Lonchura striata: one gene and its partner. The protein of the gene in region 2 purifies or fractionates together with the protein of the main gene of each other region. This does not show direct contact. Links are inferred from orthologs where the notes say so. Each region holds a gene or a part of one and is shown on either strand. Other genes may lie near its edges.

Region 1 (11,017 bases), about 10 Mb from region 2:
AGGCTTCCCAACAGCACTTCCAGGAATGATTCCTGCAAAACCAAAACAGTGGTGTATGACAAGAAAAGGCATTTTTATTTCCCCAGCCCTGACTTCAATTGAATATTTAAAAGGACATAGACTACTTAGCAAATATCTACCATAAGGAAGGTATATGTCTTTCTAGAAGTCAGTCATGTAGTAGCTCAGGACATGAAATGTTTCTGACAGTCAAGAAAGTGTCCTTATCCAGATGTTGCTACTTAAAGCTCTGCCATTGCTTACAAAGTGCTCTGCAGGAACTCAGCACTAAGGTGGAAAAAGGAGATTCTGATTTCAGTCACCTGCTTTAGCCCACCTAGGGTACAGCAAGCAGGGCCTCAAAGAAAGGGTCTGAGTCACCTTCCAGGAGCTTTATTAGCTAATGAAGTGATGCAATGCATTTCAAGAGATTTCTGCCATTAAGAAACACTTCAAGTTTTATCAGCCTTCTCCCTTAGCCACGGTGTGTATGAAGTGACAACACATGAGATTTATGGCCTACCTGAGTGGTTCAAAAGGCATTAAAACAGCAGTGGAGCTCTTTAAAGCAGTATTTTTCTGCCCATTTCTGCCACCACTTCTTTGGTGCAGCTTCTTCGAGCCAAAATTACTTCTAACAGTCATGAGAACAGAAGGAAGTTGCAGCTCCCAGCTGGCCAAACGAATCTTTCGTTGATAGGCACTTCAGGAATTGCCTCTCTCTAGAAACCAGTCTCATTCCAAAATTAAAAATCCAACCACACTAATTCAGGCTCTGACACAAATCCTGAAAAAGGACCTTATTTACCCTGTCACCACAAACAGGTTGTGTTTAGCTCTTCAACCTGATAAGTGCATCAGGAAAGTCCAACTTCTTCCCACTCCTCCAGATCTCTGCTCGCTGACTATCAGCTCAATGAGCTTCAGTGTTCCAGTGCCAAACACCTGGATCAAGGATCAACCTTCCAGGCATCAGGCAGAACTTCCACAGAACCCCCAGGCCAGGCACTCTTCCATGCACTGTGTGGAGCTGCAGGAGCACCCTGGGGGCAGGCTCAGCTTACCTGAGCCGTGTTTCAGCAGCCTCCCAGGGCCAGCAGCCCCTCGTGCTCCCCACAGCAGCACAGCCACGGCTCCCAGCTCCAGCTGCCGGGCTCAGGGAACGCCAGGAGCTGCAAACAACACCAGATCCTGCAGAGGCTGTAAATAATGGGCACTTCCAGGGCTCGGCTCGGGAGCCGACAATTCCAGATGCGATCCTGGGATGACATGCAGTTTCTCTGAATAAGAACCACAGGCCATCCACATTAGGGAAATTAGGACCAGGAAGAAATGATATCCTCCCTTGTGAGCAAGTTTACTCATGCACATGGAAAACTTATGCTTAATATCTAATTAGAGACAGTGACTAATGCAGAGCCTTAGAAAAGCAGAAGCTGCATTAGCTGAATCCAGCTCTAATGAGATTTCACTGCTAACGTTGGGTTTTAAACGTTCTAATCAAACTGAACACAGGAGGGTTTGGGTTGGAAGGGACGTTCAAGACAATCCAGTGCCACCCCCTATCATGGGCAGGGACACCTTCCACTATCCCAGAGTGCTCCAAGCCCTATCCAGGGACACTTCCAGGGACCCAGGGGCAGCTACAGGTGCTCTGGGAACCTGTGCCAGGGCCTGCCCACTCCTATGGGGAAGGATTTATCCCTAATATCTAATCTGACCTCTCCATCTCTCAGTTCAAATCCATTCCCTCTTGTCCTCTCTCCAGGCCCTTGTTTAGTCTGATTACAAATCAAGTGTTTGTTTACACTGGAGGAAAAAACGTGATCAAAACCCGCCACCAATCTAGAAAAGGATTATTCTAGAACTGGACTGCTTGCCTCTCGTGGCCTGTCCACTTCAGCAGCAGTCAGGCCTCATACCAAGCTTCCCTGTGGAACTGGTTGAGTTTTCCCTCTAGTTCCACATGCCTGATTTGATGGGAAGAGATTACATTAGACATTTATGTTGGATTAAACTCACTGCTGTGGAGACTGGCAACATCTCTTGCTTAGGCAGCACACAACCTTCTAGGCCACACCAAGTTCCTGGTGTGCACTCCAGCCTTTAGAGCTGTCCTACGGGACATCTTGCTGTGTCATTCCTTTCATTTCAGTTTGAGGAATCCCAACAGCCTCATCCACCCAAACCACTAAGTGGCCTGCAGAGAGCAGTTGTTCTTTTCCTGCACTCATTCCCAAATGCAGACTCTGAACCAAAGTCAGTCAAGGAAGCAAATAAGAAGACAGCTGTGCATGCCTTGGACTGCACTGCTCTAAAAAGTGATTTTGCACTGGCAACTGAAGCTTATGCCATTATTTTGTTTAAACCAATAATACAGACCTAGCCAAACCCCCTCCCTCTGGTTTTTCGTGTAAAGACTCACCGGATTTCCTAATTAAAAGCTTCAGAAATGTGACCTGATGCTTCCAAACTAAACCAGCTAAGGAGGCTGTGTCAGCATGCTCAACAGCTTCCTCCTTCCCCAGGGTTTTGCAAGGCTCCCTGAATGGCACTCACTCAGATAAATGCCTGGGTGTGATCCTAACATGTGGCTGAAACCTTGCAAGATTCAACCCCCGCAGAGGAGGTTGGAAACAGACTCCAGCTTTACTTAGGGAAACTTTTCCCACTGGAGACAACTTAGATGGACTCGACTGATGTGCAGCCACCGCAGCTCTGACTGCTGCACATACCCACAGTGAGCTTCACAGGTAACTCCCCAAACTCCTGCTGCTGCTACTATACAGAAGCAAAGTGGTTTTTTCCATCCCAAGGAGGACTCCAGAGCATGAAAAGCCTGCAGAGAGCCCCCAGCTGCAGAAACACTCCAAGCAGTACCAGCTCAGCAGCCATAGATCAAGGCTGAACAACAATTTCAGAGCTCCATTTCTACAAATCCAAGCCAAGATGTATTGGCAAAGTGTGAAAGAAAAGGCTTTGGGCTTTCCTGGGTTACTCCAGCAACTTTTAGCTGACAACTAGTCAGAGAAGTTGCCTTTAATGAAGTAACCCATTTTCCATGATTATCAGGAAGCCCACTGAGTGTTCACACCTGAGCTACTCAAGGGCTTGGGTATGGTTTGCCAAGGTGTTTGTCAATGTGCAAGGATGATGCGTAACTGCAAGAGAATGAAAATCCTTTTCCCAGACACTAACCCATTCAACTGGCACTTAAATATATACATTCTTTACAAGTATTCCATGGTGCTAAGGAGACAGCATCAAGAACCAAAAGAGGAGGCGATGGTGTGCTCAGTCTAAAGCTGGAGACATCAGCTTTCTCATTCGAGGTGCACTGCACCCAGGTCACTCACATTGCCTGAGAAACCCAAAGATACCCTGGCTGCCCATTTCAGGAGCTGCCAAAGTCCAGCTTGTCTCCTGCAATGTTTTCCATCACATACATCAGCACAGCAGGACACTGATGAAGCTGAACACGCCATTTAGGCAAAGCCACTCTTTATCTCGTTCAACAATGGAAAAGCTTCGTGTAGGAGTATTCCCACACCCTTCCTTTACCTGCTCCAGGCACATCACCAGATCAGCAGGCCCCAGCGCAGCACCTTGCTGCTGATGGGCTCGTGCTTGTGAGCTGTACTCCTTAGCTAAGTTGTACCTTAAGAGAAAGGACATTATTTGACACGGTTTTCAGCAATCGATAAGCAAATACTTGAGAGGAGAACCGTGAGTGGGTGCTGACACCTAAATGATTTAGAACTACCGAAAAGCAGTCAAAGGCAGGCGGCAGCTGAAGACACACAATGTTATCTCCACATCTGCTAACAGAGCCCCGCCACACCGAACACCCTGACTCAAAGGCGCCTTCAGAGCCCGCTGTGGGGCCGAGCGGGTCCCATTCCACACGAAGCTTCACAAAACCCGGGCAGCCCCCCGGAGAGAGCTCACAGATGCTCCCCGCGGCCCGGCCCCGCTCCATCCCCGCTCCATCCCCGCGGCCCGGCCCCGTTCCATCCCCCCGGCCCCGCTCCATCCCCGCTTTATCCCCGCGGCCCGGCCCGGCTCCATCCCCGCTCCATCCCCGCGGCCCGGCGCGGCCCGGCTCCATCCCCGCTCCGTCCACCCAGCCCCTGCCCGGCCCGGCCCGGCCCGGCCCCGCTCACCGCGATGACGTTGACGAAGGTGGTCTTGCCCGAGTACTGCAGCCCCACCAGGGTCAGCTCCATCTCCTCCTTCCAGAAGAGCGAGCGGAACCAGTCGAGCAGCCGGGACAGCAGCGCCAACATCGTGGCGGCGGGCGGGCGGGCCGGGCCGGGGGCAGTGCGGGGTGGGCCGGGCGATGGCTCCGGCGGGCCGGGACGCTGCGGGCCGGGCTGTGCCGAGCCGGGCTGTGCCGAGCCGGGCGCTGCTCTCGGCCGCTCCGGGACAGCCGCGCTCGTCCGGGCCCGGCTCCCCCCGCCGCCCGCACGTGACGCCGCGCTCACCGGCCCCGCCGGCCCCGCCCCGCGCCGCAGCGGCCCCTGGCGGCGGGAGGACCGGGCCGGGCCGGGCCGGGCCGGGCGGGCCGGGCCGCCATGCTGGGTGTGGTGAGGGGGTGACCCCAATCCCACCATGCTGGGTGCTGTGAGGGGGTGACCCCAATCCCGCCATGCTGGGTGTGGTGAGGGGTGACCCCAATCCCACCATGCTGGGTGTGGTGAGGGGTGACCCCAATCCCGCCATGCTGGGTGCTGTGAGGGGGTGACCCCAATCCCGCCATGCTGGGTGCTGTGAGGGGGTGACCCCAATCCCGCCATGCTGGGTGTGGTGAGGAAGGGTCTGACCCCCCAATCCCGCCATGCTGGGTGCTGTGAGGGGGTGACCCCAATCCCGCCATGCTGGCTGTGGTGAGGGGGGTGACCCCAATCCCGCCATGCTGGGTGTGGTGAGGGGTGACCCCAATCCCGCCATGCTGGGTGTGGTGAGGAAGGGTCTGACCCCCCAATCCCGCCATGCTGGGTGTGGTGAGGGGTGTCCCCCAATCCCGCCATGCTGGGTGCGGTGAGGGGTGACCCCAATCCCGCCATGCTGGGTGCGGTGAGGGTGTCCCCCCAATCCCACCATACTGGGTGTGGTGAGGGGTGTCCCCCCAATCCCGCCATACTGGGTGTGGTGAGGGGGGTCCCCAATCCCTCCATGCTGGGTGTGGTGAGGGTGACACCCCCAATCCCACCATGCTGGGTGCGATGAGGGGGTGTGAACCCAATCCTGCCATGCTGGGTGTGGTGAGGGGGGTAACCCCAATCCCACCATGCTGGGTGAGGTGTGTCCCCCCAGTCCCACCATTTTGGGTATGGTGAGGAGGGGTCTGTCACCCCCAGTCCCACCATGCTGTGTGTGGTGACAATGAATGAAGAGTTCTAAATCAAGTTCTAAATCACACAGAAAAATTACATTTCCGAGCCAGAAAAAATGGGTGTCACAAATCTACTCTTCAGAACAGAGTAAAAGAGGTGTAAACCAACAGTTGGAATGGGATTGTGGAAGGGGGCATGACGGTCTGGGGGACGTGGATCTCATCGGGAGGATGCCCACACCCAGAGCAGCCCTTGCTCTGCCGGCCTGAGATCTGCACTAATTGCTCTCTGCCCACAGAGCTTGCACAGGAGGAGCACGGAGTGCTGCACGCACGGAATAAATCCCATTTCACCCCTGCTCAGGCTCACGGGGCTGGGGAAGGCGCTGCCCTCAAACGCCACGGCTCTGCCACACCAAAATCAGCGATTCCCAGCGCCCGGCGGCAGGGAAGGCGCTTGTGCTTTTCCACCCCAAAACACGGCTTTCCTTTGTAGCCATTCAAAAAAGCCAACTAATCTACCCCTTCCAATTAAGCTGAGATACGAACTGCACTTTGAAAGTTCTTAATCCATCCTCTGCCTCATTAACTCAGAAAATTTCACCCCCATGGTTGGCCCTATCAGAGAGGACGGAACACCTGGCACCAGTTAGTTCTAATAACGAGCTGAGCTGTGCAGATTTCGGAGCCTGTCGTTATATGAGAAAATAAGACGGCTCCTCTCAGAACAGAATATTTTACTGGACATTCCTTTAATTTGTCTCTGGCTGACAACTCCTCCCACAGCCGAAGGAGCTAATTGATTTGATGAGTTCCAGGCGCCCGCTGTGTGTGTGGCACCTGCCCTGCTGCCCAGCCAAAATCGACAATATCGCTCTGGGATTCGCCTTTCCTCCTCTGAGGAGGCAAACACACGTGCCCTGTTAGTGCCCTCAGCTCGTCTGGGTGCTGGTTTTCTCCCAGGGGTTCAGCTGGGTTATAAAATGTTATCATATAAAATTATGCACATTTTAATCTGATTATATATATATTTGTGTGGTGTATATTTTATATTGATGATACTTATTATGTTATTTATAAATATATAATATTTATTAAATAGATTATGTTTTGATTTAATTTAATTTAACTATATTTAATTTAATAATATACATGATGTAAAATGTAATAATAAAATAATAAAATAATATTAAATAAGAAATAAAAATAATAAAAATTAAAAATAAATAAAACACTAAATATAAAATAAAAATAATGAAGGTATTATTTAACATATAAAACATACAATTATGTAAATTTAAATTTATAATATATTTATATTGTATATATTTAATATATATTATATTTATTATATTAATTATAAATATATATTTATAAATATATATTTTTAATTAAATTATATAAATTATGTTAAATGCAATAGTAAAAATATAAAATGTTATAATATAAAATAATGTAAATTTTTATTTTATCATGTAGGTAATATATTTCTATATTGTGTTTATATAATGTATAATATTGATGCTATTATTTATAATATATCATATTTATAAAATAAATAATATTTTCATTTAATAATGTAAAATGTAATAATGAAAAATATTATAAAATGAGGCTGTGGGTGCCTCCCAGGTCAGGATCCTCCTTGTGGAGGGAGGGAGAAGCTCTTGGCTCTGGGGAATCTGAGCCTGTGAGGACAAACGGGAGCCTCACTCCGCAGTGCCAGCAGGCAGCTGGGGGCTCTTTCCAGCCCTGCTCTTTCAAGGCTCACTTAAAATAATATCGAAAGAAAGAGGCAGATGATAGCAGGTACAAGTATGTGTCTTCTTGTGTTACAGACTCTTAAAGGAAAGGGTAAGATTAGTGCTCACCTCTACAGAGGTGCACATGAAATAACTGGTTCCTGAACCTGCCACAGCCTGTAACAGTCCTCCTGTCACTTTACACAGCATTTTTGGTACTGCCACAGTAGAAACAGTCATTAAAAAACCGAGGAGCAAAGGAAGGATTTCTCTGTGTCTTCCTCACTTCTTTCCTGAAAAAAGAAACGTGTCAGTTGTGCTGTTACTGCTCGAGCTGAACCAGAAGTATTCCTTTGCCATGAAGAGGGAGCCACCCCATGAAAATGAAACCATAACTTATTTCCCCAGAGCTGTTTGCACGCTGCCAGCATGCCATAAAATCCTGCCTCTTTCTGCAGCCCAGGAAAGCACCACAGTGGGGAGGAGAAGGGGAGAAGGGGAGCGAGGAGGCAGCCAGGGCAGGCTGATGCTGTTGAGGCAGGATGGGAACAAAAAGACTCTGACTCCAAAGGTTGCTGAGAGTAAAACTCCGATTTTATTCAAAATCCACCACTCTTTATACAGAGTTTCATTCAGACCAACTCCATTGATCCTGAAGTGAAAACAACCTACACCGTTGGTGCAGAGTGCTTGACGCACAGTGATAAAATTTAACTATAAACAATGCGAACAACAAGAGAAATAAAGAATTATTTACATTCTTTTCCAACAGGTTTCTGCCTGGTTAGAAACTCTCTGTTTCTCTCTGACAGTCTGAGAGCCACAGCAGGCAGCAGCGTGGCTCCTGGGTGAAAGCTGACGTGAGCAGCGGGATCTCATTTCCAGAGGCACGGGATCGCAGTGCGCCGGGATGGTCTGAATGCAGCTCAGAGGTTTCTCTAGGAGCACTGCCCGCAGCTGAGCCCAGGTGAGAATCCTCATCTCAAGGTGACCCGGTATCAGGTTCATCAGCAGGCACCACTTTTCACACACCTCCTTCACCCTGGAGTAGTCCCCAAGCCTGGAAACGTGGCAGCTTGGCGGCTGGCAAGCTGTGCGACTGTCTGTCGCTGCCAGGGAAAATATAAATGATGGCAGTTGCTTTAGCATTTCGATTTCGTAGGTGCTGGCAAACACTCCCCAGCATGAGCTGCTGCATGCAAGTGATGACCTTTAGGAATGCTGGCATCTCCCAGTGCTTAAGAAGCAGGAGCATGAATCAGCAGAAGGGAGCAAGGGGAAAAAAAATAAAAGATAGTTAAAAAGGAGCCTGCTGTTAGCAGTAAGTTAAATAAAATTCTCCTGGTCCTCCAGTCAGATTTATTAACAGTGACCTTGGCACTTGCAGAGCCCCCTGCACAAAAGCCAGGCCCACGCTTGCAGATTTAGTGCACAGTCAGGGCCTTGGCCAGCCCAGTCACCGCATTTCACCCTTTCTGTAATTTAGATTTTAAATCTACGAGGAAACAAACCCATTCTTCCAGCCTAAGCACAAACAGCCTCCAAGTGAGGCTCGGAAAGGCGGGCACAGAGCCCTGGGCTCCAGCTCTGCCCAGACACCTCTGTGACCAGACTCAAAGGAGCAGCACCTTGGGAAAGCCACAGCTGGAGGTCCGTGGTCAGACGGAGCCATGAGCTGCCCACCCAGGGACCATGCACATGGTGCCAGGCCAGGGGAGGCATTTTCTGCAGCCTCTGCTTTGAGGCAGAGCTCCCTCCCAGCTGCCAGGCAATATCCAAACAGTGCTGCAGCCCCTTTCCTGACAAACCCAGTGCCCACAGTCCAGGCTGCCATGTGTGTTTCAGTCCCACCAAGTGTTTTGCAGCTCATGCCCATCAGCCGTGGTCCCTGGACACCACCTGGGCTGCAGAGGAGCTCTGAACCCAGCAGTACAGCGCTGAGCCTGTCTGTGCAATTCTGTTCAGCTCCAGCCAGGATGCTCTGCCTGCTGTGAGTCTCTGCCACATCACCAGGACCAGCCTGAGCCACGGCTCCGGGTGCTGCCCCTGCCTCACTCCTTCCCATACTGGGAAGAGGGACTGTGCCCAGCACAAATGAGACGTGTCCCAGTTTCTGCAGAGGATGTCCCCAGCAGGAGCTCTGTCATTGTGACAGGCATGGGATGAACCCCAGCAGAGCCCAGACTGGATGCTGCGATGCCCCAGGGAACCCGGGCCTCACTGGTGTTCTTTGCACTTTAATTTCCCCTTTTCCTCTCAAGTTTTCTCCTTGGCCAGGGGCTCTGCTGCCTTTGCTGCGATTTTCCAGCAGAGGGGGATGCAGCCTCACCAAAGCCGTCCTCCTTTCCTGAAGCATTTGTGTCCTCACCTCCATCCTCACCCTCACCCTGCCCTGGCAGGGCTCCCTGCACAGCGCAGCCCCCTGTGCCATCGCCCACACCCAGCCCTCCCCTGGCACATGGGCACCGCAGGGTCCTGCAAATCTTCCTCTCTATTTTTGGGAATAAATCCAAAGCGAGGGATGTTATCAGCAATGAGCTGCTCCCAAGAGATGGAGAGCAAGAGAGGAACAGCAAACCCAAGCCCCAGCCTGCCCGAAGGGAACATCTCTGGGCAGTTGTCCCCAGAGGTGTCACAGCTGTCACCACACTCTCACCTTGTACCAAAGGAGCATCCAATTTGCCCCAGCTGTGAGGGGCAAATCCCAGGTGGTGCCTTTGCCTTTAGTGGGGAAGAAGGAGCACAGCTACAGGTACAAAGAGGCTCCCGTGAGCCCAGCCAGCTGAGCTGCACTCATTGACACCAGCCAAACTCACAATCTGTCAGCTGCACTCATTGACACCAGCCAAACTCACAACCTGTTGCCTCAGCACCTGGTGAGAGTCCTGAACTGAGCAGGGGGACCTCCGTGTACATCAGTGCTGAAATCAGGAGCACAGGGAGCACCCAGCCCACTCTGCAGTCTCCCTTGCACTGGATTTTGGGTGCTCTGCTTGTCTGCATTGTCCTTTGTCATCTCCTCTGGAAGTCACCTTCCCTGCTGGCATTTCACGGAGCGGGGCTGGACACCTCACACCATCATGTCAGAGCTGTGCTTCAAGGTTATTTCCTATCAAACGCTCCTCTTCCAGCCATCCAGCTATTTTCTCCTTGGCTAAATCATCTGAAAATAGACTGCAGCCATCCTAGTTCTTCCTGCTTTGTATGCATGAGCAGGAAGGGGAATTTAGGATTTTGCTGTAATGCCATACACAAAAGCCTGCTGGAGAGCATCACTTTGATTAGCTTTTATTATTATACCCAAGAAAACAGAAAAGAATAAGAATAAGGGAGAGCCCAGCATGTGTCTGCTGTGCCTTGCTGCTTCAAGGCTGCTCAGAAAATCTGCCTGGTTGCTCGGGGCCTTCATCAGGAGCATATTTGTGAATATCCAAAAAATGGCTTGGGTTTTATCCTCTTAGTAATAAGGGAGAGAAGGGCAAGAGCACTGTAATGATTTGCTCTCTAGACCATCCCAAAATCTGGGCTCTGGCAATAAAGCAGCCTGACCCCGAGGCCCCCCCTTTCACTTGGTCACCTGCAGGCAGGTGAACCTTTCCAATCCCCCACCACACCACACAGGACACAGCAAAGCTTCCCAACTGCAAGCAAAGGCATCCCAGCTCCTGGAAGTCTGAGACGGAAAACTTGATTTAGATCTGGGAATTAAATTAGCAAAAGGGATAAAAAAGAGGAAAAATATCTTGCATCTAAGCACGCATCTTTGGCAGAATTTATGACTGGAAAAACGTATTGGGATGTGAATTTTGCAGGCAGCTTTGATGAGTGATGGAATGGACCAAAGTCCTTGCTCTAAACTGCCTGAACTTTGAGGATTTGATGCAGATCCAGAGTCTAAATTTCCATTGGGGACTTTCTCATTAAAACCAGAAGCAGAAAG
Region 2 (10,628 bases):
GGTACTCCAGGCAGGTTGGCTCTGAAGGCAGCTCCAGTTACTGGTCTCCACTTTTGTCTACCGCTTCACTAGTCCACCTTGTCTCTCAAACAACCAAAGTTACAGTATATAGGACAGACTCAAGAAAAATATTAGGTTTTTAAATTGACATTAAGAGGATCTACTAAATTTCATTTAACAATTTCTGCTTGAAACTCATGCAAGTTAGACACAATTAGTCACCTTAAATTGTCATTTTAAGTGGTTATGCAGAAGAAAGAGCAAATCAGTCACTGTATCAAGTATCTTTAAATCATACAGATAGAAATCTGTGCCACAGGTTTACACTTCAATCCCATCTCAAAGGCAGTGCACCCCATCCTGAAGCTTCACTGCCCTATGTAGACAGCTATGGCCTCAATAACAGGTTTCCTGGCAGAGAAGTCAAGGCGACTGGAGATAAGCTGCAAATCAACACACTTCAATGGCCTTGATGAGCCTGCCTCCCCTCCCAGGGTCACTGACCATGAGGTAGCAGCAGCCGTGTTCCAAAGCTTCTCCCACAGCCAGAGCGCTGGAGGAGGAGCAGCCTCCAGGAGCAGCGCTCGCAGCAGCGATGACATCACCAGGGCACATCTCTCCAACACAAAATGCAGCAGCACGCTGGGCTCCAGAGCTGCATCCTACCAACAGACAGCAACAAGCACACCAGGAGCCAGAGGGGAACCGAGTGACACAGGGATATCCCTTCAGCACCTGCTATTTCTGAGCAGCACGTGTGCAGCTCCTGACCTTGGACGCTCATTTGCGAGCTTTATTCAAGGTACATTTAAAGAGAAATGGGACCTTCAATCGAGCCCCTCACTGCACAAATAAGCATGGTGTACCAACTATTGTCATTCAAGTAATTATCTATATCTAATTCAGTTTTGAGATGCACAGCTCGTGTTTGGATTGATGCTGCAGAGAATGACACTTTTATCCTCACAATCTCCGGTCACAGCTATATCTGAAGGCAGACTGTTACACAGCAACTACAAAATATCATTTTAGGAAGCTGCAAAGGGAAGCCAACTCAACACTAACTCATCAGGCAATTAAAATTGCAATTAGCAAGACAATGCTGTGCAAGGCACAAGAATGAAGTACTTCAGCATCTGAAAGATGCAAGATTGCTGTCAGACAAGCAGCACATGTGTCCAACCAAGTTCATCATTTAGGTAAGGTCTTAGCTGGACTCCCTTCTGTGGAGGCACCAATCTTTAAATTACTTTACAACTCTGTGAGGGAATGTTAGGTACATCTGGGCCCAGTAACAGGGACTTCAGAGCAGGTCAGGTCACAGCCAAGGAGAAGCCCAGAAGACACAAGGAAACATGGACACGTGCAAGGTGAGAGTCCTGTGTTTGTTTCACAAAGGGTCAGTTTACTTCAGTCACTAACGAAATCGCTGCATTCTGAAGGCAAGGACATGCAACAATAAGTACTTGTGAGCCCACATCATCCAACAGTTTCAGAGAATACATCTAAGTGCCCTATTGCATAGCCCTTATTTTCAAGCCAGGTACCTGCAAACCTTCTCTCACAATGCAGCATTAAAAAACACACCCTAACCAAGCATAGCCAATGTTGTTTACAGCCAAATGTTAAGTTCTGCATAAAACAGTCTCATTTTCACACAGAAGTCAGACCAAAATCCCATATATGTTAGAGACAGAACTATTTATAGTTTTGCACAGATGGTTTGATGGCAATTGTTATGTTTCCTCAAGGACAAGCTTTGCCAGAGATTTGCTCCAACAGGTACTTCTCACAACCATCCAACACAAGTATCCTAAAACATGAGCTTTAAGAAAGTGCTGCAGAAAATAAATCTGGTAACCCTCCTGCTCACAAGCCTTCATTTTGGTTAGCAAACTAAGCAAAGTCATATCTCTCCCAGGTCACTTCAGAGCAGAGCTTGTATATTTTACACTTTCAGTTGAGGATCTATCAATCTTCTAACATGTCTGTGCTGCTCAGAAAGTTGGATTCCCTGGCTTTGACAGGAGGGCCAGGATGCCTGTAGTGAAAACTCTGCCACACAGTTATTTAAATTCTTAACTTGTCACCCTGAAGGTACAACTCGGGGTGTCCTGTTTCCCACCTCTTCACTCTGGTGACCAGTGACAGGATTAAGAAAAGAACATGAAGCTTTGTCAAAGCAGGTTTAGGCTGGCTGTAGGGAAAAAGTTCTTCACCGAAAGGGTGGCTGGGCACTGGAACAGGCTCCCCAGGGAAATGGCCATGGCCCCAAGCCTGCCAGAGCTCAAGAGCACTTGAACACTCTTAGGCACATGTGGGGGTGTCCTGTACAGGGCCAGGAATTGAACTTCTATGATCCCTATGTGTCCCTTCCAACTTGGAATAGTCTGTGATTCTGTGCTGAGCTATTATGAGGGTATTTGAGTTTGAGGACAGGGACCACTGCATGACACCACAGGAAAGAAGAACATTTAACACAGCTACTCCCATCTTATACTTCACACTACATGCTGGGAGAGCAAGAAACTGCTATGAGATTTCAGAAGTCTTCATTATTGAGGGGTCAGATTAGCCCCATAACAGCTTTTCTACACCAGACGTAGGGTAGTAACATAACAGCACAAAGAATAAAGAAAAAAATCCAAAACACACAAACATACACCCCAAATAAACAAATAAGGCAATGCTGTAAAGTTAACAGTACTAGAGCTGCTTTAATTCTGAGGACTCAGGCCAGGCAGGCATGGTGGGTCCACTCATTAGTGCATGGAGGGCAAGTCATGTGTTCAGTCAGCTGTTGGGAGTCACAAGGGAGAGGGGGAAAGAAAAGTATACTTGTTCTTCCCGAGTAAGTACAGCAACGAAGCCTTGATTATTTAACAAGGAATATTCAAATTACTCCACCCACTTTAACCTCAAATTCAGCTCCTGAGAGAGCAGGGTACACTGACTCCAGCAGCCTGGTTCTACTGGAACCAGAGCCAGGCTGCAGCTGCTATTCACACGCCATTGGTACCACCACAGCCTTCAAGTCACAGCCAGCCAAAACACTGTGGCACAGCTACTTATGTACCATTCCCCTAAAAAGAGAATCTTCCACTTCCCCAAACCCAATACCCACATGGATACAGACTGTTCGGCATAGGCCAACGCTGGCCAGCCAGTGACAAGTACTGAAAGCTTTAAGGTTCCATGCTGGCAAGTGTCAGACAAAGAACAGCTTGCTTACAGCTGTGGGGGGGGGACTTCATTCTGTCATGTGTTCTCAGTTTACATATAAAAATCTCATACACACAGACCACAACAGCTCTGCTTATCAGCAAACATTTGTAGCTTTCCAGGAGATAATGCTGAAATTTCCAGCTTTGAGAACAAAAGGCGGAGAGTACTAGGTGAGACACACATTTTGATGCTGAGGTTACCTATCCTACTTCAGATTAAGACAGCCGTTTTTACAACTAAAATAAGCCCTCTATTTACAGGGAGTGCAACTGTCTTAAGTACAACCACCAGGCATTTCCATGTTTATTAGTCTCTCTCTATATATAGGGAAACTAATAATGTATCTATCACTTAATTTACCTTATTACACACTTACAGACAAAAGCACTTCTAACGTCCACTCTAATAGTTCTTAGAACTGACTCAGGCTTTACACACACCGACAGCTACTTTCGCAATAACTGCCAGTGTCCTCGGCCACCTCTTTGGCCAGTTTAATTGCTCCCGGGGTGCCGGGTCATGCTAAAAGCGCTCCCCGCCGACCCCCCGAGCAGCGTTTCACCGTCCCCCCGCGGCCCCGGCCCTCCTTCGGCCGCCGGCCGCCCCGAACCCTCCCGAGGAGCCGGAGCGGCTCCGCACGCCGCAGACAAAGCGCTCCCTCCCCGGGAGGCACCGCTCGGGCCTCCCCAAGCCTCCCGGCACAGCGGGCTCCACAAAGGCCGGGCGGAACGCGCGTCCTGGGAGCGGCCCTCGGGGAGGAGCCCCGTCCCGGGGAGAGCCCCCCGTATCGTCCCGGGGCAGCGCCGGGCCCGGCTCCAGGCGGCGCGGCCGCCTGAGCCCGCCTCGGGGCGGGCAAACCAGCCGGGCCCCGGTGCAAAGCCGGCCGGGAGCACCGAGACAGCGCCGCCTCCGCCGCGGCCCCCCGGTGCCGGGGAGGGGCCGCCAGCGGCTGCCCCGGCCCGGGGCGAGGCCGCCCCCGCAGCCCCGCGGGCAGCGCGCGCGGCCGCCGGGCTCACCTGGTGCTGCCGCCGCGGCCCGACCCCGATCGCTGCGCCCCCCGCCCGCCTCGTCGGCTTTAATGGGCCCCGCCGCCTCCCGCGCTCGCTTCCGCCTCCCCGACGAGTTCCGCTCACGGGGCCGCGGCGTCACCGCGCCGCCCCCACGTCACCGGGCCCGCCCGCATGGCCGGCGCCGGGCCGGCTCTGGGCGGGGGGAGTGCGGCGGTACCGCCGGGCCGGCTCTGGGCGGGGGGAGTGCGGCGGTACCGCCGGGCCGGCTCTGGGCGGGGGGAGTGCGGCGGTACCGCCGGGCCGGTCCGTGCAGGGGGAATGTGCTGGTGCCGCCGGGCCGGTCCGTGCAGGGTGAATGTGCTGGTACCGCCGGGCCGGGTCCGTGCAGGGTGAATGCGGCGGTACCGGCGGTCCGGTCCGTGCAGGGTGAATGTGCTGGTACCGCCGGTCCGGTCCGTGCAGGCGGAATGTGCTGGTACCGCCGGGCCGGTCCGTGCAGGGGGAATGCGGCGGTACCGCCGGTCCGGTCCGTGCAGGGGGAATGCGGCGGTACCGCCGGTCCGGTCCGTGCAGGCGGAATGTGCTGGTACCGCCGGGCCGCACGCACGGCAGCGCTGCGCTGGGACCTGCCTGCCCCGCCGGCTGCCAGCGCAGCAGGGCAGCGAACACCGCACCCTGCGCTGAGGGGAGGCGGGAGGGCCAAAGAAGCCTTTGTGCTTTCGGAAATAAACGATGGGGACACACAGGCACAAATCTGTTCTTCGCTGTCTTCTAAATAGCATTGAAGAGCTAGCGCGGAGTTCTCTGCAGTTGCATTCCTATGTGATAAAAACCCTCAGCTATTACTTAGACTACATTTTAGATTATATATGTTTAATATTTGTAATTTTTTACTCGCAGCTGTAATCTAAAGTGGGGTAGTAGCAACAGTGCTTGTCAGGAAAGAAGATAAAAGATGCCAGTTGAATATACATTTAGATTGATTAACCAGGCAATTGTCAGCACCAAGATCAATAGGCAGGCAAGTAAAATGGGGCCTTCTGAAGTCTCTGGACTTAAATCCATGGGATAATAACTATCCTGGTTGTATAAGTGAAATCCATATTTCTACTCTGTGTTGGCAGCAAGTTCATTTTGTTACTCAGCAATTACTTGAATATTATTATTCATCAAAGTCATGTGACTGCTGTGGGTTTAGTTAGCTTATGAACTCAGGAAAGACACCAAGGGGAAAAAAGTATTTTTAAATCTAGTGAAAGATAATAAAGGACCGAGGCAATATTCTAGCAATATTAAAAAGAAAATCACACAATGACAGACTTGTTGGGGTTGGAAGACACCTCTGGAGATCATCCCGCCCAGCCCCCTGCCAAGGCAGGGTCACCCAGAGCAGGTGACACAGGAACACGTCCAGGTGAGATCTGAATGTCTCCCGAGACTCCATGCCCTCCCTGAGCAGCTGTTCCATGGCTCTGCCACCCTCAGCCTAAAGAAATTCTTCCTCATGTTGAGGTGGAACTTCTTGTGTTTTGGTTTATGGCCTTTGCTCCTCGTCCTGTCACTGGGCACCACCAAAAAGAGTCTGGCACCATCCTTTTGGCACCTGCCTTTGAGATATTTGTATGGATTACAGACACCCTCTCAATCTTCAGACTACACAGGCCCAGCTGCCACAGTGTCTTCTCATAAGAGAGATGCTCCAGACTCCAGAGAAAGAAAAGTTTAGCAACAGTTTATTAGTGCTTTTAGGGTGCCCCATTAGATGCAAAGAGCTGCAGAAAAACGTGGTATTAGTTAAAATGCAGATTGGACAAAAGAGGAAAAGCCTTCAGCACATCAGCAGCTGGTGGAGCAGAGCACTGGCTTATCCCAGTCCATTGCCTTTAACAGGAGACCCATGTGCTGGGCTGTCATGGGCAGACTTTATTTGGCAAATTAGTGGATGTTCCTCAGCTCTCTTTTCCTAAAAGCTTCCTTTTAATTTTTTTTTTACACAATATGTAAAGCAAACAAGAACTGTGAGTGACATTTCCTCTTGTACTGCGGAGCAATCCTGGCACCACCTGTTACAGGCCTTTGTTATGCAGAATTTCACAAAAAAGTTCCCTGGGCCACTTGCTGTTGACAAGATGCTTTCCAGTCCTCGGTGGGAACACAGCATTTTCTTAAGCTGATGAGGCAAGATCCTGCTTGCTTCCAAGAACATACAGAGCACCAGTGGCAGGAGACAGGTCCCTGCTATCCAGGATGGGAGCTACATTCATAGTGGCAGAGTGGAAGTAGGAGGATGGTAGTAGCAAATGGAAGTATTGAGCTATGGCTCTTGATATATCCCCCTGTCCTCTCCCCATCAAAATAACCACGTGCCCTGGGAACACTGGAGTGTGCTGCAGCAAGCAGCCCAGCACACTGAGCTTTAGCAGCTTGTGAAGGAAACTAAAATGTCAAACTCCAATGAAAACCCATAAAAATGGATCAGTTTGAAAATCAGATGCCTATCATTCCCAATCACTAACACTGCTCTGAAGAAATCCATTCTCTATCCTTGAGGGGCATTCACATAGCTGACTGGATCTCTGAGGTTACAGTAACAGGTCTTTAGACATTTGCTGATGCAGAAACCTCAACCTATTTCATGCACTCGTTCCTCTAAACCAGGAAGTGAGAATGTCTCCTGCTTTGATTTTCTTCCTTTTGTGTCACCTAATCTCTATTTACTAATCTTCCTGATCCAATTAGAGACAATCAAACATTATGTGTCTTACACCACCTCTTTGCTTTTGTCCTTAGACCAAAAGAGCCCCTCCTTTTCCCTTCTAATTTCTCAGTGAGCACCGGTACAAAAACACCTGCAGAGAGGCCCAGGGAGGACATCACCTCAGCTGTGGCACCTATAGATCCCTGAGATGAGCTGAGAGCATCTGGGATTCCCCACAGTGCTTAATGTGTTCACCTCTTCTGTGGACACACAGCTACCCCACCCCTGGCCATCTGTGACATTAAAAGCTTGTGGAGAGTTCCCTTATTCCCCTGATACTTGTTCAGCTTATTTCAGCTCTTCAGAGTCCTGCAGCCTCTCCTCATTGCTGGGAACAACCTTTCTTTGCCTCTGTGCCCAGAAAGATGTAGCACAAGCCTAGAGTGGCTGTGCCTCAGTGAAAACTGACTGTCCAGAGCCTCCTGTGTGTGGCTGTCCTCTCTCAGCTGGCTGTGCAATGCTTTCCTTTGTCACTTTTGGCCTCCCAGAGCAGCTTTCTCAAATTATAATTATAATGATCTAACATACAAAAAGGGAACTAAAATGCAGTAAATACACAAAATTTTGCTTTGATGCTCCAAGTTTTGTCATGCTTTGATTTATCTTGTCTAAAGCAGATTCCCCCTGCTTCTGCTGGCATTTTGTTCATTAGAAATCTGCTAGTGCATGACCACCTATGCATTTCCACTGGCAAGAGCACAGACCCAGTCTTTTGCCTGTCCTGTCCCTAATCCCTGCCTGCAGTACAAACACTGTTCTGGTAATCTATTAATGCTTTCACCTTTGCAATCCTCTGATAGTTTCTATGGCATAGAGCAGCATCACATGAAAACAAAAAGGTAGCTCTGGACAAGACTTGATCACCAGATACCAACTATAGGAAGCAACTGCAGTCACTTTATCTCATGGCAGATCTCCAATCTGTGGTGCAGAGGACATTGCACTCAGTGCAGGGATTATGTCTGTGCTCACTGAGAAAATGCTGGAGGATGAACATCTTAAAGCCCTGATACAAGGTCTAAATGCAGCCATTGCAACCTGAGTCCCACAGGGAGGACAGGGCTGACCTGCAGGGATGCAAAGTGGGATTGTGCCAAGTCCCCTCACACCAGACAAAAGAGACACATAAAAAAATGGCTTTGGACTCTTTTGACAGCTTCCCCCTGTTCAATAGTGACAGCCACAAGACTGCTGCAGAGTTGTCATCTCTTTGATACTGGGAGGTGGCAATGCTGGCACCTTCCCTTAGATGCAAGCTCACTCCCTGAGATGAGAAGGTCCAAACACCTGCTCTGCCTTTAAGTCAGCCCCCTGCAGAGGCTGTGGGCAACATACAGATCACAGGGGATATCCTTAGACAAGTATTTGTGTTGGCCCTGGCAAGACAGGCAGGGAGAAAAAAGCCCGTGCTGCTGGTCATGATGTAAGGTGGGCACCACATGGCTTTGTGCTTACTGTAGTTATCTGGGCCTAGACTAGTGGAAACCAAAGCCCATGGAAATGTCTAGTGTCACATGGGAAGAGATGCTTCCATGGCCCAGACTTTGTGCTTGTGGCTAGAGAGGCACCCACTGTTTATAACCATAAACTCATGAGGCTGTCACACAAATGGTGACAATCACCTGAGCCTCTTGCAGGTCTCCCAGCTGCCCTGACTCCCCATCTACAGAGGTTCTCCAACACCACCATCACCTTTCCACTTTTACAGCCAGTCCTAAATACCAGATAATTATTTTTTTATAGCTGCATTGGGAGGTATGCCAGATAATTTCATATTATTGTTCTCATACTCAATTGGAGAAGATGATCCAGAGAGTGAAGTAACTTCCCTGAGGCCAGAGTGAGTCAGCTACTTTGTCAGATCCGTGTCCCTCTAAACACAGACATTTCTGAAAGGCATTTCAAACCATAGGAATGGTATAAAAATAGCTACAGAGAGAGGTGAACAGCCAGCACAGAACTGCACAGGCTTTTGCAGAACCGACCTTCCTTCAGGGATCAAGGTTTTTTATAAGGAGTGTGTTACCAAAGCAGCAGGTTCTATGAACTTTTACTTGCCAAGCACTGAAGCCTTCGCACTGAAGATCTGGTCAGCCTGAGAGCTCTTAGCTCATGCCATGAGTGGTTTTTAAGCCATGAGGGCAGGCAGGACAGGCCAATGGCTGGCAGGGCCTGGAATACTTTGCAAGTGCCACTGCTCTGCATGGGGCATTGTGCGATGGGGTGGACCAGGCACGTGAGCTCTGCATGCAGGTGTTTTCTGACAAAGGTGGCCATGTCATGCTGTTGTTGCACCCAGAATGAGTCATGGGACAGGAGTCTGGAGCCACATGACCTCTGTGAGTGGGACACTTTGTGGGACAGGTGACTTGCATGTTGCTTCTTCCTTAACAGTGAGTCAGTGCCAAAAGATGCCCCAAAGACAGCTCTCTGTGGGTAGGAACCAAACTGGCTGCAATGCAGCACACTCTGTGGAGTCTGCAGGTCCATCCTGGATCCCAAGAGACAGGGGTTGTCTGCAGAGACCTAGGAAGTTCCTCTGGGACCCTCCAGGGGAAGGACAGACATGTCCCACAGCAGGATTCCCACCTCAAACACCAGGCAAGGCACAGGGTGCTGCACATTAGCTTCAGATCTATCTGCTTCAGCTCTTTTCAAGTGACGGGTTTTCGCAATGCCCGCTTGTCTGCTCTAAAAGGAGAAGCAAATCCTGTATCAATGGTAACCACAAGAATCTGGAATAATTTTGAGTACATGTTTTCAAAGGCTGTGACAAAGATACTTAGCCTTGAAGGATAAGGGTGTGTGGGCAGTGAGGTTTACTTTGCTTTTATCTTGGACAACACTTTTCAATGCCTGGTATATCAGCAGCTGCATTTCTGACCCCAGGGAGTTATGACTCACTGTTTGCAAATCTCTGAGCCACCAAATTGAAGGTATGCCTCGCAAAGCGTGATCCTAAACTGAAATGCTTATAAGTGGGTGTTACAGCTCCAGTTATTCTGTTCCAGCACTCAGGGCTTGCTCCATATCACTGCCTAAATTTCTGGCAAATAGAAATCAACACCTCTTGCTTTGTTTAGGTAAACAGGATCTCTCTGGGTTTGTCTTCTTCAGTGAAGTTCTCAACCAACCTGTGAGCAATGAGGCTACAGAAGATGCATTATCCCACCTATCCCAGCACAATGCCAGCCTGAGGAACATCTGCCCAGCTGCTTCAGACACCAACATCAGAGCTGAGGCTGGCCTTCTGGGGACTAAGGCTGTCTTTTAGCTGCTTTCTGGGTGACCTGTGTGGGGTTAAGTGAGCCACTGGCTGCCATCCTTTCTGCTGAAGTGAATCAGTTTGCTGACTCAGGGGAAAACAACACAAATGTCTTATCAAACATTTCTTAGCAGGCAGGCAGGAGAGCTTTGTGTGGGTAGCCCAAGGCCTTCAGAGAAATAAATAACAAATGATCAAAAGATCCTCATATTTCTTTTTTCCTTGATAATGAATGTTTTTCTTATCAGAAAAGTAACTGCATACATGCTGCAGACCAATGCTGTTCACAAGGGGTTCCTGCTCCCTCTCTTTGGGAGACCTGGGATGGGACGGAATCACCACCATCCATCTGGCAGGGCATGATGAGGTT

The links.
Region 1: the proteins of RAB7A (region 2) and ARL8B purify together in Homo sapiens (affinity purification with mass spectrometry; 4 studies listed by BioGRID and IntAct, with this or other methods). This does not show direct contact. The link is inferred for Lonchura striata from reciprocal best matches to the Homo sapiens genes RAB7A and ARL8B.

What each region holds. Positions count from the first base shown.
Region 1 is NC_134614.1:23,100,610-23,111,626, reverse strand, and holds the start of ARL8B (ADP-ribosylation factor-like protein 8B), read right to left. Parts: upstream 4,451-11,017; 5' UTR 4,287-4,450; coding exon 4,164-4,286; intron 1-4,163. UniProt on the Homo sapiens protein: Small GTPase which cycles between active GTP-bound and inactive GDP-bound states.
Region 2 is NC_134614.1:12,811,957-12,822,584, forward strand, and holds the start of RAB7A (ras-related protein Rab-7a), read right to left. Parts: upstream 4,355-10,628; 5' UTR 4,242-4,354; intron 1-4,241.